Linked DNA regions of Pelodiscus sinensis. The protein of the gene in region 2 purifies or fractionates together with the protein of the main gene of each other region. This does not show direct contact. Links are inferred from orthologs where the notes say so. Each region holds a gene or a part of one and is shown on either strand. Other genes may lie near its edges. The genes, in order: NFE2L2, JUN, cyclic AMP-dependent transcription factor ATF-7 and JDP2.

The links.
Region 1: the proteins of JUN (region 2) and NFE2L2 purify together in Homo sapiens (affinity purification with western blotting; 4 studies listed by BioGRID and IntAct, with this or other methods). This does not show direct contact. The link is inferred for Pelodiscus sinensis from reciprocal best matches to the Homo sapiens genes JUN and NFE2L2.
Region 3: the proteins of JUN (region 2) and cyclic AMP-dependent transcription factor ATF-7 purify together in Homo sapiens (affinity purification with mass spectrometry; 3 studies listed by BioGRID and IntAct, with this or other methods). This does not show direct contact. The link is inferred for Pelodiscus sinensis from reciprocal best matches to the Homo sapiens genes JUN and ATF7.
Region 4: the proteins of JUN (region 2) and JDP2 purify together in Homo sapiens (co-immunoprecipitation; 3 studies listed by BioGRID and IntAct, with this or other methods). This does not show direct contact. The link is inferred for Pelodiscus sinensis from reciprocal best matches to the Homo sapiens genes JUN and JDP2.

Annotation. Positions count from the first base shown.
Region 1 is NC_134717.1:45,626,048-45,634,011, reverse strand, and holds the start of NFE2L2 (nuclear factor erythroid 2-related factor 2), read left to right. Parts: upstream 1-4,885; 5' UTR 4,886-4,917; coding exon 4,918-4,947; intron 4,948-7,964.
Region 2 is NC_134719.1:14,319,529-14,327,258, forward strand, and holds JUN (transcription factor Jun), read right to left. Parts: upstream 3,016-7,730; 5' UTR 2,108-3,015; coding exon 1,163-2,107; 3' UTR 18-1,162; downstream 1-17. UniProt on the Homo sapiens protein: Transcription factor that recognizes and binds to the AP-1 consensus motif 5'-TGA[GC]TCA-3'.
Region 3 is NC_134729.1:544,254-551,324, forward strand, and holds the start of cyclic AMP-dependent transcription factor ATF-7, read right to left. Parts: upstream 3,014-7,071; 5' UTR 2,876-3,013; exon of another isoform or gene 2,774-2,875; intron 1-2,773. UniProt on the Homo sapiens protein: Stress-responsive chromatin regulator that plays a role in various biological processes including innate immunological memory, adipocyte differentiation or telomerase regulation.
Region 4 is NC_134714.1:43,859,083-43,866,493, forward strand, and holds the start of JDP2 (jun dimerization protein 2), read right to left. Parts: upstream 3,097-7,411; 5' UTR 2,541-3,096; intron 1-2,540. UniProt on the Homo sapiens protein: Component of the AP-1 transcription factor that represses transactivation mediated by the Jun family of proteins.

The DNA.
Region 1 (7,964 bases), on a different chromosome or scaffold from region 2:
TCAATAAATGCTATTCAATAAAACTATCATGTTCAAGGAGACAGACTGGAACTGGGAGCAGTGAGAGTCAAAAGGTTTTCTTAGCATTGACAGGTCTTTTCCCCTTTTAAAACTTTGTTTCTCCAGGGCTTCCAACATTCAATCTGGGTTCAGCTGCCAGTGGGGTCATTCTTGGATCAGAGAAAACTGGAATTGACCAGTGAAAGGAAAAAACTGACAACTTTTTTGCTCCTGGTCCTCCATCACAATTGCTGTGATACTGTCATGCAATATTTCTCCTTGAAATCAAGGACATGGTATAACGAGAATGCTTGGTGTATTTTTCTCACAGGCTTGTCTTCCTTGGCACGTAAAGCTGGTCCTATAAAAGATATTACCTTAGCTCGTCTCTCTAAAACCCTGGCACCAATGCAGCTACAATAACACTGCATAGACATACCTCCTCATGCAGTGATAAAACGTATCTATTCTCCATATACATTCCTAATACGTTCATAGACAGTGCAACATGTTCTACCTGAATTTCCATAGCAGAGCAGGTGTATTGCAGATGAACATACCTGGTATATTTAGCAAAAGAGTCATGTAATTAAGACATTCTGATTATAGTTTACATTCTTCAGATGGATGTGTAGTTGTATATAATTACACTACAGGCTTTCTATATTTACAATAAACATGCATCGTAGACATGCTAGTGAGAGAGAGAAGCGAAACATTACATTCTATTTTATGGAGTGATTACAATGACAAATATCTGGTAATAATTAGGAATGTGAATGACTAGTCGCCTATCAGGTACGCAAATGCTTATCGAACAGTTGACACGCTAATCGACTAGTTGCTTCCCCCCCCCCCCACCTTGCTGCCTCTATCAGAAGAGGCGGAGGTGTTTCATAGTGGTAGCATCACATGGAGCCTGCAGACTCCACTGCTGACCCCAGGCTCCATGCAGCTCTGCCACTTTGAAACGCTGTGGTACTGAGAGTCTCCTGCTGTGAGACTTTGAAACACTGTGAGTCTCCTGATGGCTCCAAGCTCCCTGCAGCTCTTTCACCTCAAATGTGGAGGTGCCCTTATCGACTAATCAAATAGCCGATGTAAATTGTATCAACTATTCGATTAGCCAATTAATCTAAATGTAATATCCCTAATAACAGCTTTCATCCAAAACTCATCACACCATCCATTGTCTACAACCAATCCCTAAAATACAACTGCATTTGTTCCAATCCCTCAGACTAAGACAGGATCTCTATCAAGCATTCTTAAAACTCCAATACCCACCTCAAGAAGTGAAGAAACAGATTGATAAAGTGGCTAGCCAGGACAGACCCATCAAAGAAAGCAACATAACATAACATAACATAGACATTACTTACATCCCTCAGCTACAATCTATCCTACATATCATCAAGGATCTACAACCTATCATAAACGACGATCCCTCGCTCTCACAGACCTTGGGAAACAGGCCAGTTCTTGCTTACTGACAGCTCTCCAACCTGAGATAAATACCCACCAAAAACTTCATATGCTACAACAGAAACACTAATCCAGGTACCTATCCTTGCAACAAAGGATTACCAACTCTGCCACATATTTATCCCAGTGACACCATCACAGGACCTCACCACATCAGCTATGCCACCAAAGGCTCATTCTTGTGCACATCTACTGATGTAATATATGCCATCATGTGCCAACAATGCCCCTCTGCCATGTACATCTGACAAACCATCTGTCTATGCAAAAGAATAAATGGACACACATCAGACATTAAGAATGGTAACATACAAAAGCCAGTGGGGGAGCACTTTAACCTGCCTGAACACACAATTTCAGCCTTTCGAGTTGCTATTCTCAGGCAAAACAGACTGCAAGGAGAAACTGCTGACTTGGGAATAATGCAAATTTGGCACATGGACTGATTCTCATGTTACTCTTACATTACACATAAGTAATTTCCCATTCAGGTACTCACACCTTACCACTGTTGGAGATGAGCCACATCCACTCTGATTTAATTAGTACTGATGTCATAGTCCCATCTCTGTGTCCTTTTCCTCCCTCTTTTTTCTCTCTTTTTTTTCTTCAGTGTCTGAGGAGCTGTAGCTCATGAGAGCTTATGCTCTAATACCCTAATACATGTGTTAGTCTTTAAAGTGCCACCAGACTCGTTGTTGCTTTTGCTGAACTAGACTAACACAGCTATCGTTTTAACATCTGACATTGCATACATTCATTTGTATGTTTTGTCCCACCAGAGCAACACTCTTTATTGTAGTAGATGTGAGAGGATTAAATAGCACTGTGAGCCATAGGCATGGGAACTTCGGGAGTGGGAGGGTGCTGCAGTACCCCCAATCTCAAGGTCCCACATGCTGGGGGCTCTGCTGCCAGCTCGCGCCCAAAGGTCCCAGCTCGAGCCCCGTGCACTGGGTGCTCAATTGCCAGCTCCACACCCAGCTTCAGCAGGGGATTCAGACAGGGATAAGGGGTCCCAGTACCACCACTTTTAAAAAATGTGTCCACACCACTGCAGTAAGCTGGATCATTTAGAACAGGAATAAGCACAGGAATAGAGCCATGTTTTCAGCAGGTGCAGAGCAAGGCTGGGTGAGGGGTTATTAGCAGTGTTCTCTTCAATTATATTTATTGACTTTAAAGGAAGCCACACATACACCTAAGACCACCATTAGTTCCACCACTGTGTATGCATTATAGATAGTGGCTTTGACCTGTTATAACTTCCTAACAAATACAACATCTTGCATTTTTACAGTGACTGTTATCCCCAAATGACCACAAATTTAACATAAGATTTATTTTCACCAACTGCTGAAGAGCTCGACCTTCTATGAGGCTACACAACAGGTGTTGAACAGAATACAACAACATTTGAGATTAAGAAGTGAAGAATCCTGTCTCACATTTAAATTTCAGAGGAAATTAAAGCAGGAAAAATGTAATTACCTCAGTCGGAATCTAGCCAGTGCACAAGGATTAATGCACCCATTCTTCTAAAAGTGCTGTGGAATCTTTTAATTATCAAAAGTAGTCAGGATCTCATTTGAAAGATGGCCTCTCTGAAAAAACAGCATCTTCTGCTAGTGCACTGTTTTAGGATTAGTAACAGTGCTATCTACTAAATCTACAAATACTTTCCGAGCTCTGGAGTTTCTCTTAGAGGCCATTCTTCCAAGAACTGAATGTGCATAATTTGTGAGACTTGGTTGTACAACTACAGAGCTAGCATAACAGAACAAGGTAATGTCTTTAAACCCCCAAAAGCTGTGGACTCAACTAAAACAGAGTTTACCTATATCTTCCAATACTTTCTGTGAAAACAGACAATAAAACTGCACCATGCACACTTCTTCATGGAAGTAGGTCCATACATGCATTGATGTGCTGCTTCACATTGCAAGATATGGCCCGGTTCCATAGCTAAACAGCACAGGATGTCTAGAGGTAAGAATAAAATAATGTTGTAAAGTAATAATTCTTTTGTGGGTAGCATGCAGCTAAACAAGGTTAACTTGAGTGGTGGGGAAGGATTGAGGTGAGTCACTCAGAGCACTCCTATATTAGGTATTGGGGGGGAAGGGGAGTCTCAGGAGTGGTGGATGTCAGTTTATATTAAGAGTTTTGAGAAATGTGTTGGAATTTCCATATAGCCTTCCTCTCATTATTAAGCTGCTATATTAGTTACCAACTATAAGTTGGAATGGCTGGGGAAGGTCAGTTAGTATAAAGAGTTGGTCAGCTGGGATGTTGCAGAATCTGTTGGAAAGGCATCTGGTGAATCTGCTGGATTGAGATATGTTGAGATGGGGGAAATGGCTCTGATATGTTGGAATCTGCTGAGATCAGGCAGGCAGGGTTCTGTCAGACTTGGAGATGGGATGAGTTATGATAAATCAGGGAAGACTTAGTTTATTGTGGCAAGATTGACAGGCTGAAAAAGGATCTGATGAGAAACAATGTGGTAGGAATAGAGAGGAATCGGAATTGAATTGGAATAGGTTGAGGAGAGATCTGTTGGAATGAAGAAGAATCTGGGAATAACTGGATAGTTTGTGGGAGCTGATGGACGTGGGTGATTTTCAGGAGAGATGGGGAGGAGAGAGAGAGAGAGAGAAAGAGAGCGTGTGCGCGTGCGCCGGCTTACATACACACAGAGCCAGATGTCCAGTTAGGCACAGTACTCAGGTGCCTTGGGGTGCTGCCCTTCTAAAGTTTACAAAACTTTAAAGTGGTTTACAAATTTCATTTTTTGTTTTTAGAGAAAGCACAAAAGTCAGCTGTAGGCAGGGGCAGGTGCTAATGATGCTGTGCCTAGGAGCATACAACGCAGACATCTGGGCGCGTGTTTGGCAGTGATGGGAGAGGACAGGCTCGGGAAGGGATGGGGCTGGTGGTTTTGGGGAGAGAGGGAAGAAGATGGGGCCGAGGCTCAGGTGTGTGTGGCAGCGATGGGAGAGGACAGGCGAGGGAAGGGATGGTTTATGGCTGGGATGGGGTGGGGAAGCAGAAGACGGGGCACAGGGGCGTGTGGCAGCGAGGGAAGGGGAGAGGGCCGGGACGCTGCTCTCTAGCAGGCCCTGGGGGGACAGGCAGGGGCTCGGACGGGGCCAGGGTGGCTTGGGGCCGGACGGGGATGTGAGGATGGGCGGGGCCGGGCCAGCCCCCGCGCTGCTCCGTGCGGCCGCCGTTGCCGAAGTTGCCGGGGCACTGGGACAAGGGCCGCCTCCCCGGCTGCCGCGGCCGTGAGTGGCTGGGGCCGGGCGGGGCGGGGCGGGAGGCGGCTCGCTGTCCCAGCTGTCCGGGGCCGCTCGCTTCACTCCCCCGCCAGCGTCGCAGCGAGCACCGGGACAGGGAGCGAGGGGCGACGCGCCGGCTGCCGCCAGCAGGATGGAGATCGAGGTGCTGCCCGCCCCGCAGGTGAGAGCCGGGCCTGGGCCCCGAGTCCGCCGGGAGGGGCCGCGAGTCCGGGGGCCGCTGGCACGTGTCTCCCCTGGGGCAGCCCCCGCCCCGCCCGGGTGGCGACACGCCGGAGCGGGGGGCTGCTGGTGGCGGGGGGGGGGGGGAGCAGGAGTCGCGGCCCCGCCCCTGCTCTCGAGATCGGCGCGGCTTCCCCTGCTCCGGGAACGTGATGAGTCACGGGACCGGCCGGGCGCCCGGGGGAGGCGGGCCGCGCACGGTTCCTGCCGGCCCCCAGGCCAAGGGAGCAGCCTGGCGCGGAGCCCCCTGGGGTCGGTGGCGCGTCAGGGGGACCACGGCCCGGGGGTTCTTACGCCAAACTAGTGTCCTCTGCTGCGAGCTTGGGACTTACCCTTTGGTGACTCAGTTTCCCCATCTGCACCATGTCACAGCCCCTTGGAAGAGGCCTGAAATGTGATGTGAGATGATGCCAGTAACAGCCACCCTGGTTTTAACCAGGTCTGTGGTGCCAGCCAATCTTACCAGCTGCCTCAAGGGCAAAAGGCCATGGGAAGGTCAGGAACAATGAGGCTGGCCTCCCAGAGAGGTAGACTAGATACTCTTGATTTCCTGAAAATCTATTGACTGAGGAAGTGGGGGTGTGAACAAAATGTCTAGGCCCTGGGTGTAAATAAAATGTATGGCTTTCAGTTTTAGCTGTAAGGAGTAGTAGCCCTAGCAAACATTATCTACACTCAACAAATTTAAATAAGTCTGCCTTGGAAATCTTAACCAGATATCATTGTACAGGCAGAAACTCTCTAGTCCAGGGTTCTGATCTGTGGTCTGGCAGGGCCATTGATATTGCTGAAACAAAGATCCCCAACAGCTGCGGGGCAGGACCTGGGAACAGGGCTGCAGGGCCAGTGGCCGGGAGAGCCAAGAGTCAGGTAGCTGGGGCTAACAGTGGAACCAGCCTGGTGGCAGGGAGCCCAGTGACCAGGGCTGGAACAGAGCGAAGCCTGGAGTGCGAAGCCTGGAGTGGAGCCCAGCCAGTTCTGATAGATCCTGGGAGAGCCTGGACTCTGTCAGCAGAGGGCCTGGAATTGACATCCCCTGGTCAGCACCTCTACTACACATATTGTTTCAGCATCCCTGGTGGCTCCGGAGACCCCCTGGATCTGTGTGATTTAGTCCTCATTAAACATGCCACTGCATTTAAATTTTAAGGCCCCACATCTAATTTCTTATTTGGATACATTATCCTTGTGTGGATGGCTTTTGGCTTTAGTTAAAAGTTTATCGTCTGTCACAATTTCCCTAAAAGGGCCCTTTCTGCTCGATAGCGTGAGATCCCTAGTGTTCTGAGCCAGGAACAAGTTGGAGCTGTTACACAATCATTTATTTCCCTGGGGCTGTTATGTTTTGGATTTAGCCTTTTGGTGCAGCTTCAAAATGTGTAAACCAGCATATATGGAGGGTATAATCTCTGAATTATCAGAACATAAATTTTAAATATTAAACATTCTTTCAACTTTTTTTCTGATAGTTTCTTTATCATGTTTCTGCATAAAATATATGTAAAGTTAAGCAGTTTCATTTCATAACAAGTCTCTTCAGGGGCATATAATGACATTCTTTTTCATAGTCTTGTGCTATCAGTTGTATCAATTGTCTAAAAGCAGAAGAAATTATCCTAAGTTATTTCACTCTTTTATTTAAAAAATGCATTTTTTAAAGGGTGAAGGAATAGTTGAGAACTAAACCAGTTTACTCTTCAATTTTAGTTTACAGATGTTTTGTGTTCATTTCTCCCCCCCCCCCCTTCTTGTTTATAGGGAAATACAAACTTTTTACTCCTAAATTTATTACATGTATGTATTCCAAATGTTATGTCCATTGTTTAGGTTCATTCTGATCTGGATCACAGACTTAAGAGAAGCTTAGATAGCTGTTTCTCAGGGGCTAGATATCCCACCAGATTAATTTGAGGCAGTGGTTCTCAGTCAGGCATATGTGTACCCCTGGAGGTACACAGAGGTCTTCTAGGAGATACATCAACACAGCTACATATTTGCCTAGTTTTACAGCAGGTTGCATAAAAAGCACTCGCAGAATCAGTACAAACTGAAATTTTATACAATGTCTTGTTTATAGACCGCTATATACAATACATTAAGATGTAAGTATAACATTTATATCCCAATTGATTTATTTTATAATTATATGGTAAAAATGAGAAAATGAGTGGTTTTTTTTTCAGTAATAGTGTGCTGTGACACTTTTGTATTTTTATGTCTGATTTTTTTAAGTGACATGAAACGTAGGGGTACGTAAAACAAATCAGACACTTGAAAGGGCTACTGTAGTCTGAAAAGGCTGAGAGCGAGTATTTTAGGGGACAGCATCCACTCTTAAAGTTTCAGCTACACCTTTCTGGATGTATCAAACACATCTACCTCCCCACTCTTGAGATGTGTCCCTCTTTGCAATATTGCTTCTTGTATCTCTGTTCTTAAAAAAGTTCCTCTTGGGCCTTCATCATTTTTTAGCTTCACTACTACTATTGCCTCATGTCTGGCCTCCCCTCTTGACACCCATTCATTCCTTGCAAAATGTTGCTGCTAAAGTAATTTTCTTGGTTTATTTGACTGTGCTAGCTCCCCTCTGAATTCCTACTGGCACCAACTTATGCACTGCATAAAATTCAAGCTTTTTTTGGTCTCATCTTTAAGGGCTTTAGCAACTATGGGCTTATTTACAGTTACAGTGTTGCAGCAGCATGGCTGTATTAGCAGTTACTGAAAACACAACCTATGCCAATGGGAGAGCATGTCCCGTTAGCATGCATGCAAAAGAAGCCCTTTCGTGCTGTCTACATCAGTGGGTAAGTTGGTGTAACTATGTCATTCCAGGGTGTGGATATTCCAGAACCCTGAGCAACATTATACCAGCATAAGTTTGTAGTCCAGAAAAGGCCTATGCCTCAGTGTACTCATTTATTTTCTTGTTTAACCCTTTGTTCTGTCAATGCTAGC
Region 2 (7,730 bases):
AGATTTCAACATAGGGAAAGGGATTACAGAATTTTATTGTGACAGCAAGTATTCATGAACAAAGACCACCTCTTATTTCTGAATAATTAGACAGTACTGAAGGATACCTTTTTGTTAAATTTCCTACCTAAAATATGGTGTTGGGGATATTATTTTAATAAGTAATATGAAATAGTTACAGTTCAGACTAGTATAGGACAGGGCAAGTTGATGCAAATAGCAAACCCCCCCAAACTGCTTAATTTTTAAAGCTATTGTCTATATTGTGATATGGGATTATGACAGGCAAGCCAATCTGAACTAAATCCATAAAACACTTAAAATACATACATTATTTGCTGTTCATGTTACAGGGTATGGTTTATCTTTTCACTTGAACACATTCTCCAGAACGTGTCTTCTTGTTACAGTATAAGTTAAACATTCTCTACCACTGAGAGTTCAGCATGTGTGATACGAGTCCTGATTTAGGTACTGGTAAAAAAGGAGGGGGAGGGAGGGAAGAGGGGAAGGAAATGCATTATTAATGCTTTTATATTTTCTTAAATATAATAGAACCTTTCTGGACTTTTTTCAGAAACATAAAAAATTATATACTTTATTACAAATGGTAAATTCAGAGTGCTCAAAAACCCTCATTTACAAACATTACTGGACAGAACACAAACATAAAAATAATTTACAAAGTCATGAAGTTGTTTATTGACATTAATCAGCTTTCATAAAATAAAAAAAATGTACATACACAATTTACTTGAAGGCAGGCAGTATATTTGTTTTTATCAGCCTCCCACAAACCTCCCTCCCATTTGTGTTTTCTTTAAGAGTATTACAGAAAGCAACCTACAGTCTCTATTGCAGTTTAACCTTTAATACTGAATGATCATCGAATGTTAGGTCCATGCAGGTCTTGGTCAATATTAAACAAAGATCTGATGTATCATCTGAGCAGGAACAGCACTTCTCAGAGTGGTGCTGTTTTGCTACTAGCTCTGTTGAAGGCTCGCCAGTCTTTCCACACATGTACTTTGTGGGGTGCAAGCAGGACTCAATGCCTCTCAAGCCTTTACCATTAGCTTTATGAATCTGCCACTTGTTATGGGTTTGTTTTTTCTGTTGCTCTACTGCAACATCATAGATTTTTCACCCCAAGTCAGTATCTTCAAAATGTTTGCAACTGTTGTGTTAGCATTAGTTGGCACCCACTGTTGACATGGTTCATGACCTTCTGCTTAAGCTGTGCAACCTGTTCTCTGAGCATGTTGGCAGTGGATGCCAGTTCTGAGTTCTGGGCTTTCAAAGTTTTCACTTTTTCTTCCAATCTGGCAATCCTTTCCAACTTCCTTTTCCGGCATTTGGAGGCTGCAATTCTGTTTCTCATGCGCTTCCTCTCAGCCTTGATCCTCTCCTGTGACTCCATATCAATGGGGGACAGTGGAGGAGTCTCTCCTGGCATTTCAGGTACAGTTTGAGGTTCTTCTTTCAGAGCTTGGAGCCTGGGATGCTGCACTGGCATCTGTGGATTAATGTGATGCTGAGGTGGGTAGCCCATGTTGTTTGCATTGTAGTTAGGTGCTGTGCTGAGTGCGCTAGGGTTAAAGTTGCTGAGATTAGCATACACTGGAGGTTCGCTGTGCAAACTGGTGTTGAAACCATTGTTGCCAGCCATAGATGAAACAGGTGTCATACCACTGCTAACTGGTTGGGCAGCAGTTGTAACACTGGGCATCGTATTCTGATTGTGTAGCTCTGCCAGAGCTCTCACAAAACCTTCAGCAAACCCTTCTTGCTCATCAGTAACATTTTTGGGACACAGAAACTGTGTTGGGGTGGGAGTAGTGGTGATCAAGCCATTGCTGGACTGGATGATTAGCCTTTCCAGTTCAGGAGATGCCAGCTTCAGGAGACCAACATCTGGGGAGGTAAGAATATCAGCATTCTTGTTCCTGAGGTGGGGCTTCAGGTTGCTGGCAGGATCAGCCAGATTTAGTGTCATATTCTGCTTCAGGACTTTAGGGTTATTATATCCATAACCACCACTTTCTGGCTGTACAAAGGTAGCATTTAGGGCATCATCGTAGAATGTAGGTTCCATCTTTGCAGTCATAGAACACAGTCCACCAAACTGTCTTTGAAGCAGTTACAATTAAGCAGGGAGAAACTCGTTTGCTTGCCAAGTCCCGTTCAAAGCAAGTTCACCTTTTTCAATACAAAACGGCAACGGTGTAACTCAACAACGAAAAAGCTTTGGAAAAGTAACGATCGGCTCGAGTCTTACTTTTTCTTTTTATCCCCCAGGGCAGCGGCTGGCGGGTCTTTCCCCGTTTCTTCCGCGGGTCAGGACTCAACTTTTTTCAAACCACAACAAGCGAGTCAGCCTGAGCGCGGAGTCGCAGCCGCGCTGGTGTCAAGTTCTTGTGGTGTCTGGGACGGCGCTGCGCGGCGAGGAACGGAGCAGAAATCCAGCCTCGCTCTAGTTTCACTCCGGAGTAAGTGTCCGACAGGCAGGTTCCCCTCCGGATCGCGCGGGGTGGGAGGCTCAGAAACCCAGGCTCTCGGCTGCCCTCTTCTCCCGCTGCGAGGGTGCCTGGGGCGCCCGGCGCTTGCAGCCCCTGGGGCGGGCTGTCCCAGCCGCGGCTCGCCGCGCCGCACCCCCGAGCTGTCCCAAGGACTTTTCCACGGGCGGCCGCTGTCTCGGCTTCCAGCTCCGCCCGCCGCGGCGACCACGTTTCCCGCGGCTGCGCTGGCCGGGTCCCCGCCGCAACCCGAGGCACTTAACCGCGCGCGCTGCCGTGCCCGCCTCTCGCGCTGGGCGCCGCCGCCGCTGCTAGTGCTGCTGCTGCTGCCCTGGTGCCTGCCGCACACTCTGAGCCCTTTCCCGGCCTGCAGCCCAACACTTATCAGCGAGCAGTAACCCACCAAAAATAGCCCATGATGTCACCCCGCGGCCTTCCCATTGGCTGCGGCGGCACCTCAGGGGGGTGGCGGGCCGCTGGCCCGGCCTGTTGCAAAGGAGCCGGTCTCCATGGTCACCCCACCCCTAGAAGCTTCTCAGCTCCCTCGCAGGGCACTGTGGGATGAGGTAATGCTTGTGCTCACCGCGGGGCATTGTGGGCTGACGTATTGTTTTTGAATCTCTGGTTACCCGCTGAAGAGCGCTTGGACGCGCGGGGTTGGGAAGGGGGAGCCTCCTTAATAGGCAGCAAGCACCAAGTTGTGGACGGAGGGGGGGTGGGAAAGGCACACAGACCGACCTGCTCCCTGGACACGGGGTGGCTAGTGAGTTTTTAATCAATCCTACTGCTTGAGTCTTCACGGTTCAGTCTGCCAGCAGGGGGCTGGGTGCATCGAGGGCCTCGCGTCGGGGCTCGCTTTAGGCTGCATTCTGACTCCCCCTCCCCCCCCGTGGGGTGGTACGGTCCTTAAGGTGGCACTGACGTCTGGGCGCAGCCGTAGGCTGGGGACAGCTTAGGGATGACCCTGAGCCGCACGTGATTCTTCCCCTCCCTGCTGGGGCCGGCCGGCAGCGCTGCCCAGCGCCGGGGGAGCGCCGCTTGGCTCCGACGGGGGCAGCCGCTGTCGCTTGGGGAGGGGAGGCGCCTGCTCGGGAAGCAGCGGCTGAGATACGCGATCGGGGTCCTGCTACGGGCCCGAGCTCTCCGGGCTCCCGCCTCCCGCATTCAAACCTTGGCAGCTCCCGCCTGGCACCTGCGGAGCGTGGACGGGGCGGAGCCCACGTGGCTCCTTTGGCAAGCGGGAGCCGCGCCTGCCTCGCTGGCGGGGGCGTGCTGCTGGCGACGTGCCAGGGCTTCTCCCCACCCTGCGACCTTACCCTCTGCAAAGTGCTGCGCCTCTTGGGATGCGGCAGCGCTCCGGGAAACGCGGGAAAAAAGTGTCCTCGCCCTCCCACGGAGCGACCCCACCCCCGCCAATGCTCTGCCGCTCTTGGCAGGTGCTGCACATTGCTACCCAGACAGGGCTGCCTCCTCCCGACCAGTCTCACTAGTTTGTGGGGAGGCAGCGTTTGTGAATATCTATAAAGCTCTTTGCAAATAAGGCAGCGCTGAGATGTCACCACCGCTGAGGTGGGAGGGAGCAGCTGCTTAACACCACCCGGCGCACGGGTACGGGGCAAGAAGCTGGAAGACTATTATATCATATTCTGCCGAGCAGAAACACGTGGCCAACGCTCCTAACAAGTAAAGCAATTATAAAAGTTACGTAGATCAAATTATCTGGTGGTGTAAATCGACGCACTTCTATGGAACTTTGCCAGTGTACTCCAGAAGAGAATGTGGCCATCCTGTTAAATCACGTCTTAAATGCAAAACGGACTGTTATTTCATGGATTAAACAAGTACTTGAAAAAGGGAAACATTCTAGGATTTTTTTGTTCTTGTTCCAGACATAACAATTGGTTAAATTTTCAAATGGGATTAAAAAGAAATACAAACCCAAAGCAGAAGTAAACATCATAGTCCATTAGTTTTCTAAATGATCTCCCAGTTTCTTCTTTCCATTTGACATTTTTTTTCTAGTGTCCTCCACTTGAATTTGAGTAGTATATTAACTTGCAAAAGAGCTAGTACTGCCGGTTTTGGAAAGTAATTGGTGTACAGAGAACAAGTGTACACTTTGTAGCATCTGGAGTAATAGTTCCTAGTGTGAAATTCTAAACTCACACCTGAATATATTGCCTATTATTCTCTATGTCTTGCCATAGTACATGTAACCAAGATATTCCTGTGTTCCAGAAAAGTTAAAATGTGTGCTAGCATGCAGCCAGAATTCCAACTGTTAAATAGCTTAACAAATCAGAAGTGTCATTGCATATACATTTGTCTCGAAATCTGTTATCAGCCTGTTCGATGCTAGACACACTCAGGCTGCATCTACACTGGCATGATTTTGCGCAAATACTTTTAACGGAAAAGTTTTGCCGTTAAAAGTATTTGCACTAGAGAGCATCTATACTGGCATGTGCTTTTGCACAAAAGATTTGCTTTTGCACAGAAGCATCCGTGCCAGTGTAGATGCTCTCTTGCGCAAGAAAGCTCTGATGGCCATTTTAGCCATCGGGCTTTCTTGCGCAAGAAATTGATGTTGCCCGTCTACACTGGCCTCTTGCGCAAGTACACTTGTGCAAGAGGACTTATCCCTGAGCGGGAACGGGAGCCCTGATTTTGTACATTACATTAGTGTTCTTGCGCTGATACTCCCAGCCAGTGTAGACAGGCAGCAAGATTTTGCCAATATAGACACAGCCTAATTGTTTAATTTAATGTTAACGGCTCCCTGCTTCATCAAAATTACACTCAAGATGTTACAAATAAACTTATATTTCATAAAGATACATTTCAAAGTTTTCATTTGTCTGTTTAACAATGGGAAATGTTTAATTTTACTCACTACCAGCTCTGATGCTATTGTAATCTTTTGTGTCAAAGTACAATTATCAAATTTTTAAAGGTTTTTTTTTTACAGTGGATATTATTCTGGTAAAAGGAAGAGTGTGAGCTTAAAACACTAGTTATTCTGAAATAATTCCCTTTGTGGACACTTATTTCAGAATAAGAACACCTTGTTTGCATTTGCTTAACCCATTGTTAAATTAAACCAGAGAAAGGCCGAGATTGTCAAAGGTTTTTAAGTGCCTAAGTCCCTTTGAAATTTATAGAAATTAGGTACCTAGATATAGCTAAGGGTTTGGGCTAAAGGCACGTTAAAGGTGTGTCTATTCTGGAATTAGAGGATTTGGATGGGGATTTATTGCAAAACAGATATTCCAGTCAATTTTCCTCACGTAGATAAGCTCTAAATCTTAACAGTGTTAAATAAGATTGCAGTAATCTTGAATTTGTCCAGAAACACTATATTTATGTATATAACTACTTGGGTATTAACAAATTAACATTACACACCCAAGTTAAGATGTAATGCCAAAAAAAAAAAAAAAGGAAGTCAATGTACCATTCAGGCCTCTTTTTAGTCAACTTTATGTGTATGAACTGAAAAACAGATTATTGCTCCATTCGGGTCTGTTCCAACAGCCCTGTTGTCAACACAAGTTTTCCATTGATTCAGTGAGTATTGGAGTGGGTTGCTAGTATACTGTTGTGTAGAATTTTTTTTCATGTTTTTTCACCCACTTTGCTGCAGGCAGGCTTTGACTTCCTTCCTGTCACAAAGGTGGAGTTTCAGAAATGGACGGGGTCAAAGTAGGTCATTCCAGTTTCACTGGGAACAAGTTGCTGCCATGGCCTATTGCTAGGGCAGATAGTCATCAAACATTAATTATGTTAACTGATACTCACTTAGAGGGTATTTGGGAAATTGAGCAACAGACAGTCAAGCTGGTCATAAATGCTGAGTATACATGGACAGCTTTGAAACCAAAGAAAATGTGACTTTGTTTCTTGGCTGTCTGTTTCTTCCTGCTTTTTCAACCAAGCCTAAATATCATTCATCTGAAATGAATGATGGCTGTCTGCTCAGTGTAAGATTGAGAATCTTGGTTTAGCACCCAGCAGACAAACTGAGATTCATTCAGTAGTATGAAACTGAAGAGTCTGTGTGCACTCCAGCTGGGATTGTACCTCGCTGTTCTGTTAGGGTGCATATACACAACAGGGCTTAACTCAAAATAAGTTACGCAAATTGACCTACGTCAATTACATAGCTTATTTTGAAATTTGGAACATCTACACAGCACTTATTTCGAAATAGAGCACTTCCTCCGACTTCCTTTACTCCTTGTACGATGAGTGTCACAGGAGTCAGAGTAAAAAGTCCTCCAGCTTGACAATATTTCGATATTATTTCGAAATAACTGCCTGCTGAGTAAACGCTAGTTATTTCAAAATAATGTTGCTGTGTAGACGTACCCATAGACAGACACATACTAGCTCTGCTCAAGCTAGTGTGCTAAACATAGCAATGTGAAGGGTGTGGCACAGATAGCAACACAGGTTAGCCGCCCATAAAAAAGTCCATCCTTGAGAGTCCATACTCAGTGGCTAGTCCAACCCTTTGCCTGTGTCACGCAATCCATACTTATTTTTGTGCACTAGCATGAGCAGAACATGTACATAGCTATTTACCTGGACATGGAGACACATTCACTCTTACAATGTAGACATACTTTCAGAAAAGGTGAATCTGCCCTATTGGTGCAGAGATTTTGAGTCTCCATGGCCATGAGAGCTTGGAATGGTAGATGACTAGATTCCTGAATCAGCTATTACTTTAGCACTCTTTAGCCCCTTCCTGATCTCATGAAATAACTAGTGTAGTGAGATGAAAAAACACTTAGGGCATGTTTACAATAGGAAATTATTTTGAAATAACTAAATTTGAAATATCCCCCAAAATAACTATTTTGAAATAAGCTTATTCCCCGAGGAAAGCAGGAGTTGTTATTTCAAAATAACCAGCCCCTTATTTTGAAATAAGGGGAGTTATTTTGAAATAATTCCCTAGTGTAAACCGGGGCTTACTGAGCCATTTGTGAGAAGGAACTGGAAATTAACTGTTTATTTCCATTGATGCGGCAGGTAGATGCCTTGACTAACGATAATACAGATTTTCATTTCAAGAGTTCTGTAATCCATCAATACAGGGCTGCAAGAAGCAAACAGATTATCTCAATAATTAAATGGCCTTTTGAGGGATAAATTAAAATTTCTCATACACATAATCTTTATGTGAATTATATTTGGTCTCAAGAAAAA
Region 3 (7,071 bases), on a different chromosome or scaffold from region 2:
CTAACCATACTGCAACAAAGTTTGCACCTACATTTCTGGATTGGAACTTCCATCAGTTCAACCTTCTTTTTAGACACCAATAGCAAACAAACTCTTCAGTGATGGTCAAACTACAGCTACAAAACTGATTACGGTTGGCCAGAATGGTAGTTAATATGTCAGGGGTGGCCAGCCAATTAGACACTAAGAGCCAAAGAGCTGTGGATAGTAGTGCAAAGAGCCACACATCCCTCCCCCAGAGACAGGCACCCCCAGGCCCCTCCCATTCTAACCCAATGCCTGGGTCTGACCGGAGGTGCCACTGCATTTTTCCTTCCAGGAACTTAGGCACGTGCACAAAGCGGGCATGGAGCTCTGAATGAGCCCTAACCCTGAGAGCTGCATTTCTGTGAGCAAAGAGCCGCATGCAGCCACCCCTGTAACATGTATTCTTATGATCATGATCAAATACAAGTTCTTTAAAAATAAAGAGAAGGGGTATTAACCATGATTCCAACATGAGCAAATATAGCGTACCTTTCTAAAAATTCCTTGGTGTTCAGTTGATGAAGTTAATCTTAATTTTGTATCAAAACACTGTTTCACAGAATTGGTGGTTGAGAATTACTGTAACATTCCACACCACGTGAGACTATATTTAAGTGAACAGCCAATAACTATATTTCTCCAGTTTGTAAAGTGCCATGTAATTCTTTTGGACAGACCTATTGGTTTACAGTATGCTTCATGCTTTACCAAACAAACTGGAAGAAGTCCATACCTCAAAAGACACAATAATAAGAAAAGACATTCTGAGGAATCCAGAGAAAAGTATCCATTTTATTTTTATTAACTCATTCCCACTAAAATTTACTCTTCAGAGGGGCCTGAATATGCAGAGGATAGCTTCTTGGTGAATCACGATAGAGATGACAGTTCATAAGAAAAGGTACAGTTAGGAGAATGGAAAGAGGAAGGATGATATTGGTAGTCAACTGAATTTCAAAAGAGTGTAAACTACAGAAGAATCTGCTCTTAAAAATTTTAAATTTGATTAATCTATATTGATTTTACATCTGTCAACAGGTATTTTTATTTTCATGTAAGAAAAGTCTAACCTGTTGGCCTTTCTCTTTTAGGACAGGTGTGGAGAACCTCAGACTTGGCAGCCGTATGTGCCTTCCTCCCCCAGCTCGCGTGGCTCCAGCCCCCAAGCTACTAGCCAGGGCCCCCCTAGGCTCTGGTGTGCAAAGGGAATGTGAGCAGGATCTTTCTCCTTCTGAGTCAGGGGCTTCCCACTTTGCTTCTCACTTGTGTGTGGCCCCCAACTACTTTCTCTAGGGATCAGCAGCCCCTGCCCTAAAAGAGATTCCCAACCCATTTTAAGTTAAGGAGAAGAAGTGGGGCCCCCAAATTAATTTTAGTAATAAAAATGAAATTCTTTTGACAAACTAGCCAGTGAGATTCTACTAAATTAGAGCTATGAAACAGTCACCTATTATACCACAGCATGTAAGTGAAAGGAACAATTGTGGAGTAACAAATTAAACCCTCATTGCTTCAACAAGTTCTCAGAAAGTTTGAGCTCCCAAAGTCCAACAGCGGGAAGCAACAATTCTTTACGCAGTGTATCTATAATGTAAATAGCTATAATGTACAATGTAAATATTAAGTTTTCACGCTACTGTTGCTCAGACTGATTTAATTTGCCAAGGGATGGGGGAGGAGGGAAAATAGTCAGCACCTCCCAAAACTCTTTTCAGGAGGGGGCTATAAAACGGTGAATCCCACAACATGTATTCTCGGGGTTACCCCACCCAATCAGGTTTTTTGGGGGGGACCCCAAACTACCAATTCCAGGGGCCCTTCCCCCCAACCTATAATCTCCCTCACACACCCATTTTTACCAGGCAGCCCCAAGCCCTTACCCCAGCAACTTTAGGAAGACTCCTACCAAAACCCCCTAATCCCCCCGAATGGCGCTGCTGCTTAGGGCCCCTCACACCCCAACCACACAAGCCGCACACCCATAAGGGGCCCCACGTATCCCAACTACACAGCCCCCCCCCCGCACCCATAAGGGGCCCCCCCGCACCCCAGCCACAAAGCCCCCCCGACCCATTAGGGGCCCCCCTGCACCCCAACCACAAAGCCCCCCCCGCACCCATAAGGGGCCCCCCCGCACCCCAACCACAAAGCCCCCCCCGCACCCATAAGGGGCCCCCCCGCACCCCAACCACACAGCCCCCCCCGCACCCCAACCACACAGCCCCCCCCGCACCCATAAGAGGCCCCCCCGCACCCCAACCACACAGCCCCCCCCGCACCCATAAGGGGCCCCCCCGCACCCCAACCACACACCCCCCCGCACCCATAAGGGGCCCCCCCGCACCCCAACCACACAGCCCCCCCCGCACCCATAAGGGGCCCCCCCGCACCCCAACCACACAGCCCCCCCCGCACCCATAAGGGGCCCCCCCGCACCCCAACCACACAGCCCCCCCCGCACCCCAACCACACAGCCCCCCCCGCACCCATAAGGGGACCCCCCCGCACGGAACCCAGCCCCCCCACAGACATTTCCACCCAGACCCCCCCCCCCGGTGTCCTCAGCTGGGCCCCTCTGGCCCCTCCCCCACCAGCCACCGCCCGGGCCCCTCGGAATCTCCAGCAACCCTGAGCCCCGCCCACCCGGAGGGGGCGTGCCCCAGGCCATTCCCGGCCGCGGTTGGTTGCGGCGCCCGTCACTCCAAGCGCCCCGGCGTCCCGATTGGCCGCAGAGCGTGTCACTCACGGGAGGGGCCGGACTCTCACGAAAACTCGGGGAGTTCGGAGGGGGGGTCTCAGCGTCAACTCCGGGCCCCTGGAGGGCGGGGGCGGCGGGGGCCTCGCTCACCTCGAGGCCCGGGGGGGACACGGGGGCTGCCTCAGGTCCGCGCCACTGCCTCGCGCCGGCGGCGGAATCGGGCGCGCGCTCCGTCCCTCTCGAGCCGCCCCGAGCTCTCGCGCTGGGCGCCCCCTCCCTCCCTGCGCGCGAGACTCTCGCGAGACCCGCCGGGGGCGGGGCAAGGAACAAGGAAGAACCAATCGGCAGCCCGGGATGCGGGACACAGCGGAGGGGCGGCGCGCGGGGGGTGGAGCGAGCCCGCCCATCGCCCCCGGGGACACAGCCCCCCCATGGCCCCCCCGGACAGGGACAGAGCCCCCCCCATTGCCCCCCCCGGGACACAGCCCCCCCATTGCCCCCCCCGGACAGGGACAGAGCCCCCCCATTGCCCCCAGGGACAGCCCCCCCATCACTCCCCCCACATCCCCCCCGGGGACACAGCCCCCCCCATTGCCCCCCCGGGGACACAGCCCCCCCCATTGCCCCCCCGGACAGGGACAGCCCCCCCATCACTCCCCCCACATCGCCCCCGGGGACACAGCCCCCCCCATTGCCCCCCCCGGACAGGGACAGAGCCCCCCATCACTCCCCCCCATTGCCCCCCCGGACAGGGACAGAGTCCCCCCATCACTCCCCCCCATCACCCCCCCGGACAGGGACAGCCCCCCATCACTCCCCCCACATCGCCCCCGGGGACACAGCCTCCCCCATTGCCCCCCCGGACAGGGACAGCCCCCCATCACTCCCCCCACATCGCCCCCGGGGACACAGCCCCCCCATTGCCCCCCTCGGGACAGAGCCCCCCCCATCGCCCCCCCATACAGGGACAGCCCCCCCGGACAGGGACAGAGCCCCCCCATCGCGCCCCTGGACAGGGACAACCCCCCCGGACAGGGACAGAGCCCCCCCATCGCTCCCCCGGACAGGGACAGCCCCCCATCACTCCCCCCATTTCCCCCCCGGGATAGAGCCCCACCCATCGCCCCCCGGACAGGGACAGCCCCCCCATCACTCCCCCCCATTGCCCCCCCGGGACAGAGCCCCCCCATCGCCCCCCCGGACAGGGACAGGGACAGAGCCCCCCAACAACCCCCCGGATAGGGACAGAGCCCCCCCCATTGCCTTCCCAGACAGTGACAGAGCCCCCCCATTGCCCCCCGCTGAGGTTACAGTGACAGAGCCTCCTTCCCGTGGCCCAGACGTTGCAGATGTCGGCAGTGCAGGGTGAGTAGAGATGGGGCACCCGGGGAAGGGAGCTGAAGGGTTGTTCTAAGTCAACCATCCTTTGCAAACGTGTTGTGTGCTGTGGGACAGGGCGGGGTGGAGCGGGCCAGGCTGCTGGGCAACCCCATCTCCTGCTGCCTGTGGGGTGAGTGTGTGGTGGGGGGGTAACCCCAGCTGCCACCATGCCAGGGCCCTGTAATCCCCTGGGTCCCTCCCATCAAGAGGACAATTGAGGCTGCGGCCACAGGGCCCCCAGAAGCACAGGGCCTGGGGCGGCTGCCCCGATTCGTCCTGTTGACGGAATGGTTCTGGTTACCAGTCTGTGCCATGCAGGTATATGGCAGCCGTCCTGTGGGGAACGGTAGGTGTCCAAGTGCAAACGCCCAAGGGTGCAACATTATGTCGCGTGGGCCTGGGATGGGATGTATGGACCCTGCACTGGGCCTGCAAGGGTTAACCAGGCCTACCTGTGCGAGAGCGCCCCATCCCACAGCCCTGCTGGGGGGCAGGTGGAAAGGCCAGTGGAGGACCGTGGAGAAGGCAGGGGGTGTGTGTGGCCAGTCCTCTCCGGGAGGGCTGTAGATGGACTGAGCTATGGAGGCTGGCCAGCGGGAAGGGCTGCAGAAGCCCGTAGGTCGCAAGGGACTAAAGGGGAAGCCACCGCCTGCTGTGAACTGGGTAGGAAGTAGCCCAGGGTGGGGAATTGGATCCCTGAGAGCTCAGTGCGTTGTAGGCGGGTTCCCTGCTGAGCTAATGGTGGGACCTACCCACCACTGCCAGGGCCCTGGGCTGGGACCCGGTGGAGGGGGAGGGCCTGGGTTCCCCCACTCCATTAAACCCCAAGGGGTCACTATGGCTGTGGACGTTGCCTGCTCTGCCTTATTGCCCCATGAACTGGCAGTTGCTGTTGACTCAGGCTGCTGGGCCCTATTGCCCCGCGAGCTGGGTGTTGCTATTGTCTTTGACCACTAGGCTGGACTCCTATGGGAGAAGGGGTAGGAGAGGCCCGGGGGCAGTCAGGACTGACACTTGTGGGGTGGAACGTGTGTTGAGGGGGCTGGGCGTACCCACCGTGTGACAGGGCCATGTCTCAGTGTTCGATGTTACACCTTTAACTAGGTTCTTTAGTGCAGTGGTTTTTAAGCATGACTATATTGTAACTTGTCTTGTAGAAGAGCCTAGGAACCTTACGCATGGACTAGGACCTTCCTGCCAGGGAACAAAGTATTTCCATTCATTCAACATATGGGGCGGAGGGGGACGGGGGGACTAAAACTTAGGGTAGTTAATGACTTGCCTAAGGCCACATCTGAGCCTAAATTGGGAACTTTACCCAGATCCAATGTCCTGTTTACCAGTCATGGAGCTCAGCGAATAGGAATCGTTTGGTGGGTGTCACTGTAAGCCACAGCCACTCCCCTCCCCCCTTTAGGGTGCCTGGGCCACTAGCAGAGGTTGACTAGCTTGCTACTGTCTTGGCTAACACAGCTAGCTCTTAGCTCAAACAGGTGGGGACCCAGCTTCAATCTCCTCGCTCAGAGGTACGGCTAGCCCCAGTAGGCCAGCCAAACTTACCACTTCAACTTTCTAGTCCAGAAAGGCCCTGCGGGGAAATGTTAACATACGATTTAGTGCCAGCCACCCAGCACAACAGGTGAGGACAGGAACGTGCAGGCTGATTTACTCAGCTGATACCTTGAGGGAGCCAGAATGGAATCGCCTGGCCTGGAACTCCTCCAGGATGCCCTGAGGTTTGCACAAGTGCCATAGGATCCCACGTGCCTGGGAGGAAGGGTTTGAAATAACATGGGTATTTCGTATCCCGATGTGGTCAAGCGGATGCTAACATGAAGGAGAGGAGGGGGAAGCGAAACCAAAAAAAGCAAAGCAAAAGTGCCTTAGATACAGGAGAAGAGGGGAGCCCTGTGAAGTGGGGAGGCCTTGCCAACCCAAACAACCCTCCATGCGCTGTGCTCCAGCCCAGAAAAAACAAAGGCCCTTCCTTTGGTTCCCAAACATCAGATCCTCCGCCAAAGGGGCCTGCTGACCCAGTTGGAAACGTGAAATATTTGCGCCTCTTCCCTCCCCGTCCACTGCTTCAGTCTACGATTGATCACAGCCCACAGCTGCCTGATGGCCTTGGGCTTTGGTGTCAGGTAGTTACACAAGGGGAGAGCCACGCCATGCCCAGCCGAACGGTGGGGGTGAGCTGCACTGCCTATAAAGCAGTAATTGCCTTGTTAACAACACAAAGTGTCATCAGAAATAATAGGCTCCAAATTGGGGAAGATTAAGCAAATGCTAGGTAAGTGGGCAACATGCTACTTGCTATTGTTTCCATTAATTAAATTAACGAGCCATGCCACTATTCAAATGACGTGCCTGCTTTCTGTGCGCTCCAGCGGGAAAGCCGCAGCAGGCTCTTTGGGCTCACGGCAGCCTTCCCTAGGCTCTCATGACGAGGGAGCGGACGGAATGGGAAGTTGTCAGTAGACGCTTACGGTTAACTAGGCTGCCCGTATGTCCCAATATTATCAGGGCCTTCCTCTTATTAGGGCCTCTGTCTTGTATATGCAGTTATTACCCCCCCCCCCAAAGTGTCCCTTTTTTCATACTTGCTATCTGGTCCCCCCAAAGGTTAACACTGAGGATGTCCTTGGCGGACAGTCCCAACTGACTGGAAAGTGGTGCTGTTCCTATGGATGGGGGTACATTTAGATTGTAAGGTCTTTGGGGCAGGGATTGCCTTCTTGTTCTATTTGTACAGCACCTAAAGCAGAGGTGGGCAATCATTTTTGATGGGAGGGGGGCACTCCATGATTTTAGTAAGTGGTCAGGGGCTGGGATGGAGCTCGGGGTTGGGGCCTGAGGTGCAGGAGAGGGGGTGGGGTCTGAGACGGAGTTTGGGTGAAGGAGGGGTTGTGACCTGGGGCCGCGGATTGGGGTATAGGCTGTGGGAGGGGGGAGGGGTGCAGGAGAGG
Region 4 (7,411 bases), on a different chromosome or scaffold from region 2:
AACCAATGTTTAACATCCCTAATATCCCCAGACATCTCCATGTAAAAGCTAGCAAATTCCCAACACAGGCTTCTGGCAAAGGCCTCCAGATAGAAATTTTCATGCTAGTTTCAAGAAACATGCTAAAAATTCCAAGTCTGAGTAGCTGAAGCATTTGTCTCTTCTGTGCTTTCAGCGATCATGCACACTCAACACGTGCGCGCGCACACACACACACACACACACACACACACAGAGTTTGGCAGTGGTTGCGTTCCAGAGCTGGTAATACAAGCTATGAAGCAGGCTGCCAAGACAAGCAAAAGAATGAGCCAGGCCCCATTTCATTGGCCCACCATACACTGCATATGGCCCTGGAACCAGCCAAGAGAGTGTTCTCACCCTCCTTGAAGGCATAGGAGGGCCTGTGTTTTCAAATACACCTCCACAGGGCCTTCATTAAAAGCAAAATGGAAACATAATGTGTGTGTGTCTCTCAATATTTCTCCCTTTCCCCCAATTTGCTCTCAAAGCTATTTCCCTAACATTGAAACAGAATAATGCCTTCTGGAAAGAAAAAGCACAAAAGAATGTGACTTTCATTCAGTTCTATGTCTGGCTACTAAAATGGACTTGGGACTGAATGAGCAGAAGGAATCTCCAGGGGCTCCCTTTCCAGGGCACAGAGAGCAAGTAGGAGGAAGCACACTCATGAGGTAGCAGAACACATTGCAACCCTCCCTGTAACAAAACCAAAGTGGGCCTCCCAGAATTCAGATTTTCTTATTCTTAACCCACACAGCAAGCATTTAACATTCACTGTGTGGACAGGTGAACTAGAAAACAAAATCTGAGGAAGTAATAAAACCCACTATGGCACCAATCAGAAATGAGTTGTTACCGGAACCCATTAAAGCCAGGCATTAAAAACATAACGCTAGGGCAAAATACAGTGTTTGTTAACCTTGATTCCACTCTCTATGCATTTGTAGGTCTCATTTGGGTACACCTACATTGCACTAAAAAAAGCATCAAGTCTCAGAGCCTAGGTTAACTGACTTTGGTTACAGGCCTAAAAACTGCAGCACAGACATTTGGGCTCAAACTGTAACCTGGGCTCTGAAACCCAACCCCGGGCAGGGTTTCAGATCCTGTGCTCCAATCCAATCCTGAACATCTCCACTGCAATTTTTAGCCTCTCCCGCCCCTTCCCCTCAGCCTGAGCTGGAACTCTGTCATGGGTCCAGTGTAGGCATGTTGTTTATGCCTTTGTGATGTGCCCATCTGTGCAGCATCTAGGTGTCCAGGACATCAGTGAGAGTTTCTTGTACAGGGAACAGAATGTCAGTCAAAATTCAGGTGCATTGAAGAGGAAAATGCTGCAGGTAAACACAGTACACAGCAGGCTCTGAAGCCAACCCTCAGGAGGCTTCTATCTTTGTGTTTTAAGGTCTGTTAGCCTTAGCCCTATCCTATCAGCCCACTCTCCTTAACCTATCAGAAGCTGTGCCGACACCGAAACATGCATAAAATCCTAGCACCTAATGCTGCAGGATATAGGTGATGGAACTAGGGGTGCTGTTGCACCCCTAGCTTGCAGTTATTTATATCCTATTCTGGGTTTACATTTTGGTTCAATGGCTCTCAGAACCTCAACTGTGCAAATTGTTCCAGCACCCATAGCTTGGGCCTCACCTCCCCCATCCATCCCTTTCCTTTTGTTGTTTCCCTTCACTTGCCCAGCTGGACTGTAGGCTGCTGAGACCAGGGCCTTGTAAAGCCCCCACACTGTTGGCTTCTCAGAATTAAAAGTGATCAGTACCTGGCACTAGGCCCTACACACTTCAGAGCGTCTTCACACCAACCAATGTGGGATAGAGATAGGGGCCACACTTTGCCTCAAGCTTCCCTTCCACAAGGGACAGCCTGCCCTCCCTGACCAGCAGCCCCAGGGTGCAGTCATGGGTGGTAGCACAGAGGTGAGAAGTGGCTGGACATGGCACAGCAGCTCCCAGGGCCAGCACACATTCCGGAGCATGGCAGGCAGGCAAGGCAGTCCCTGAGGTCATTAGGGGGACACGCAGGCGCCCTGCTCTGGCCGCGGGGAGGGATGCAGGCAGTCACCAGCCCATGCCAGTGACAAGAAGACCCTGGACCCCTGAGCGCCCCCTGCATGTGCGTGAGAGGAACGGGCAGGACGGGGGCTGCAAGGCAGATCCCAGAGCACAGCACAGTCCGGGGGGCAACAGGCAGTAACGTCCCCTCCGGTCGCCGCGCCGAGGATGGGGGGAGAGGCCCAGAGCCCCCCAGGCTCCCGTGACCCAGGCCGGTGCAGGTTCCGGGCCTGGCTTTGCAGCTAGCCTGTTTCTTTCCCGAATCCCGGCCCGGCCCAGCTGCTACACCGGGAGGTTTTCCCAACCCATCGCCCCGTCTCGAGAGTCGGCCCCCTGTTCCGAAACTCCCCAGGTCCCACTGCCAGCCCCACACCGAGTTGCCGCGGCCTCCCGGCCCCGCACCGAGCCCCCCGTCCGCCCCACACTCCCCGCTCCGCCCAGACCCACCGTGCAGAGGGAGAAGGCGGCCGACGTGCCCCCGGGGCCCGGCTGTAGGAGCCGGAGACAGGCGACACGCTCAGCCCCTCCGCTGCCGCCTGGCTCCGGTGCTCTGCCCCTGTCCCCAGGCCCGTCCTGCCGAGTCCGGTCCCGGGAGAAGCCGGAGCAGCTGCCGCCACCGGGGCGCCTGGCCAGCAGCCGCCGCCGCCACAGCCGCCGCCCCCCGTCGCTGCCCCGGTGCGTCCTTCCCGCAAGCTGTGGCGGGCGGCTGGGTGGGTTGCATCAGCCCCGGTTATATAGCGGCCCCTGGGCTGCGGGGAGGGGTCGGGAATGCGGAACCGGCCGGGCTGCCAGCTCCAGACGTCAGGGAGGGTGGAGAGGAGGGGACCGCAGGGGAGGAGAGCGCAGGCCGGGGGTGGGACCAGCTCTAGAGACAGTGACCTCCAGCTCCCTCCGCCCGTTCACCGCGCTGCACATCCCCGGGAGCGAGAGCGTGCCGTGCCGCACACCCCTGGCGGCCTCCTTCGCCCTGCACCCGGGCCAGGAGGGCTCAGCTGCATGAACTCTTCTCCTCCGCGCCCTACATCCGGGGGTGGCATGACACATACCTCCTCCTCCTCCTCCTCCTCACGCCGTGCATCCCAGTCAGGAGGCTGGGGGGAATAGAGGAGCCGGCCGCATGTTGCGCACACTCCGCTACCCCTTTGAGCTGTAGATCGGAGCAGGGCTGGGGAGTCAGCTCCACAGCGTGAGAGAGGCGCAGCGCACACGGCCGGCGCTCTCCCCATGCAGCGCCCTCTTCTCCGCCCCCGGTTTGGGAGAACGGAAGGCGAAGAGGGAGGAATTGCCAGGCTCGCTGGCAATCAATGCCTGCCTCACCCCCTCTCCTACATTATCCACATCTCAGCCAGGGCAGGAAGGAGTTGCACCATGTTCCAGCCTCTCCACCCCATCAGGGGGGCAGGACAGGGTGCTCCAGATCTCCCACTGCTCATTCCTACCTCTGGGAGGGAGGGAGAGATCTGAGAAACAGATGGGACAGCTGAAGAGACCGTATCCCACCTACATGCCAGGGCCAGACAATGAGGAGAGAAAGGTAGGAATAGGAGGGCTGCAAGGAGACCCCCCCCCCCCACATCTAAGAACACAGTGAGCTTTGCCTTGCTCTCTAGCTTCACCATCATTCACATCTGAGGTGGAGCCTGTGTAGGCTCCTTTGCCATACACATACAAAGGGTCATCAACAGTTTTGTGCCCTTCTCTCCTTCATCCAGAACTCTTGAGATAGATGAAGAGACGGACGTTTAAGGCTACCTCCATCCAACAGCTGTCATCACAAAATTGTAGGACAGGAAGGAACCTTAACTGATCACCCTTCTCTATCATCTGGATCTCATGGAATACTGTACCTCCATATGTACATACCCACACATACGCTACTCTCCTCCTCTTACACTATATCCAAAGCAGACAAAGTAGCAGGCAGAAAAGAGTGCTAGGGTCTTCTAGATAATGTAGACACAATTATTTGACCCACCTCCTTCCTCCCCTGAGACATTTGTCACCTATCTCACTCACATTTGCCAGGTCATATTAGGTTTTAAGACCACAATAATCAGGCTTCAGGAGCATGGTGGACTTGTCACTGATTCTAGATATCCAAACAGCTCTAATGGCCAAAAGTCCTATCTTCCACTCAGATACATCTTTTTCTTTGATGAGGACCTCCTGAGTTCATCCCTTCAGTCTGCACAATGTAATTCCCCCTGCCTGAGACTAAACCTAAGAGATCATGTCCTCTAAGCAGGGCAAACTACAGAGATCATATTACACCACTGTTCCACAAACTGAACTGAATGTGCATTCACTTCCACTTTCTGGTACTGCTCTCAAAGCTTTTATTGAGACACATTAGGGATTCTCAGATTTTTTTTCCATAATGGGTACAAAAGTCTAAACTGAAAGATTGTCTCATACACACATTCACTATCTTCTAGCCCAGAGGTAGACAACTTTTTATAAGAACGTAAGAACAGAAGAATGGCCATACTGGGTCAGACCAAAGGTCCATCCAGCCCAGAACCCTGTCTGCTGACAGTGGCCAATCCCAGCTGTCCCAGAGGGAGTGAATCGAACAGGTAATGATCAAGCGATCTCTCTCCTGCCATCCATCTTCACCCTCTGGCAAACAGAGGCTGGGGACACCATTCCTTACCCATACTGGCTAATAGCCATTTATGGACTTAACCTCCATGAATTTATCTAGTTCTCTTTTAAACCCTGTTACAGTCCTAGCCTTCACAGCCTCCTCAGGCAAGGAATTCAACAGATTGGCTGTGCGCTGTGTGAAAAAGAACTTCCTTTTATTTGTTTTTAACCTGCTGCCCATTAATTTCATTTGGTTCTTATATTAAGGGAACAAGTAAATAACTTTTCCTTATTCACTTTCTCCACACCACTCATGATTTTATATACCTCTATCATATCTCCTCTTAGTCTCCTCTTTTCCAAGCTGAAAAGTCCCAGTCTCTTTAATCTCTCCTCATATGGGACCCGTTCCAAACCCTTAATCATTTTAGTTGCCCTTCTCTGAACCTTTTCTAATGCCAGCATATCTTTTTTGAGATGGGGTGAGGTCACTCCATGAATTTGGTAAGTTGTCAAGGGCTGCCCTCTTGGGGACAGGTATTGGGATGCAGGAATTGGATGGGGTCTAGGTTGTGACCTAGGGCAGGGGATAGGGTGCAGGAGAGGATTCTGATCTGGAAGAGAGGTGTAGGAGCAGGATACAGGATCTGGGAGAGAATTGTGAGGAGGCAGGGGTTCAGGAGGGAGTACAGAGAGCCTGAAAAAAGGTCTAACTTCTTCCTATGTACACAAGCACATTTTTCTGTGCAATTGCAAGGAAAACACTTATATGGACAAAGAAAACTGAACATTTGTCAGAGTCAACAATGGCTCCGCAAGAGGTTGGGAACAATAAAAAAATACCATAACACAAAATACAGTGAACAGATGATACTTTGAAACTATACATTTATTATTTGTGTCAACAAAATACTGGAATCACATTCATGTATTTTTGTGCTATACAGATTATATGGAAGGATAAAGGAAGTGGATATGAAAATGAGGCAGTACAGGCAGTCCCCGGGTTACATGGATCCGACTTACATCGGAACCCTACTTACAAACGGGGTGAGGCAACCCCGCACTAGCTGTGCCCCCTCCCCCACAGCAGACCAGGGAGACGCAGAGTGGCTTTTCTCAGCAGATACCTCAGCTTGAGAATAAAGGACTGAGGGAAGTGAGGTGTGGGAGAATAAAACTGAGCTCTGGAGAAATGTTTGGCTAGAGTTTCCCCTACAATATGTACCAGTTCCGACTTACATACAAATTCAACTTAAGAACAAACCTACCATCCCTATCTTGTACGTAACCTGGGGACTGCCTGTACAATAGACAGGAAAATATATTAAGTATACTTAATGGAAAGTTCTAAATAGAGAGACCCTACAGTCAACAAAGCAATTTTAATAGAAGGTAATTTGCTCCCAGTACTTTGGAAAGGTAAAACTGATGCTATTAAGTGGGGGTTAATTCATCTGGTCTGCGAGACCTTCAATAAGGGAATCAGTTATTTTCACATATTTTATCTTCCTTGTAAGTACATTCACAGAACCACCAAGGTATGCATTTTCTGGGAAAAAGTAATGGTATGATCGAATTCTTGTAATCTTTATCCTTTTTCATCCAGTGGCACTGGAACATTTTTAGTCACGAGGGTGCTGAAAGCCCCCTTACCCAGTGTCTACCACCAGCCATTCCCCTAGCACTGGGGCCAGGAACAGGGCTATCTCTCTGGGAGGAAGGGACCCAGGCAGAGGAAAGGGAGCAGAAGTTAAGGCCAGGGCTGGAGCCAGGCACGAGGCCAGCAGCCAGGACCCTATGCATGGAGCTGGTAGCCAGAACTCCTGTAAAATGTGGGGGTTCTGCAGCACCCATAATTCTCATGCCTATGTCCTCACCTTGTTGCTTTGAGTATCACCTTTGCTCCTGTCACAATTCACATTTAGACTGTAAATTCCCTGGAGCAGGGCTTGTGTTTTCCAATCAGAGCTGCTTATGTAACCTAGACACCTGGTGGGTGTGGTTCATTGTCCCATGTAGTGACACTTGGACTACTTACAGAGAGGAAGTATGAGTTTGCTCTAGGGCAGTGGTTCTCAAAGTGCAGTCCCCAGACGACAAGTGGTCGGTGGCCGCCTCCCAGGTAGTCCACAGCTCAAGCTCAGCCTCTCCACCCCCACACAGGAGGGAGCCCATGCAGCCACAAAACTGCAGCTCCAGCTTCCAGCTCCGAAGACACGTGGAGGTGGAAGGGGGTGGTGAAAAAAGCAAACTCAACCCGGACCCCACCCCCACCAGTGCTGGACAGTCTGGGGCCACCCCCCACCACTTTGTCACACCTCCCTGCCCCTTCCCCCAAGGACACCCTACCCTCCATTTTCCTGAACTCCCACCCAGCCACCTTACCCCAGCCCTATTCCTAGTAGCACCCTGCCCCTCATTTCCCTGAACCCCCTCAGCCACTCTGACCCCCAACTTTATCCCCAGGCACTCCCTGCCCCCATCTCCCTGCCCCTGGCCAATCACCCTACCCCAAGAACCTTCCTGACCAGACATCCTACTCCCAGCCTGCTCCTGCACCCACCCCCTGGCCAGATACCTACCCCCACCTGCTCCTTGCACCGTCTCTCTTGGTCACACACTACACCCTCCCTTGCTCCTGCTCCCTCCCCCTAGCCAGATACCCTACTTCCAGCCTGCTTCTGCACCCTACCTCCCACCCAGACCTTCTAACTTCTCCCCCTTCTGTA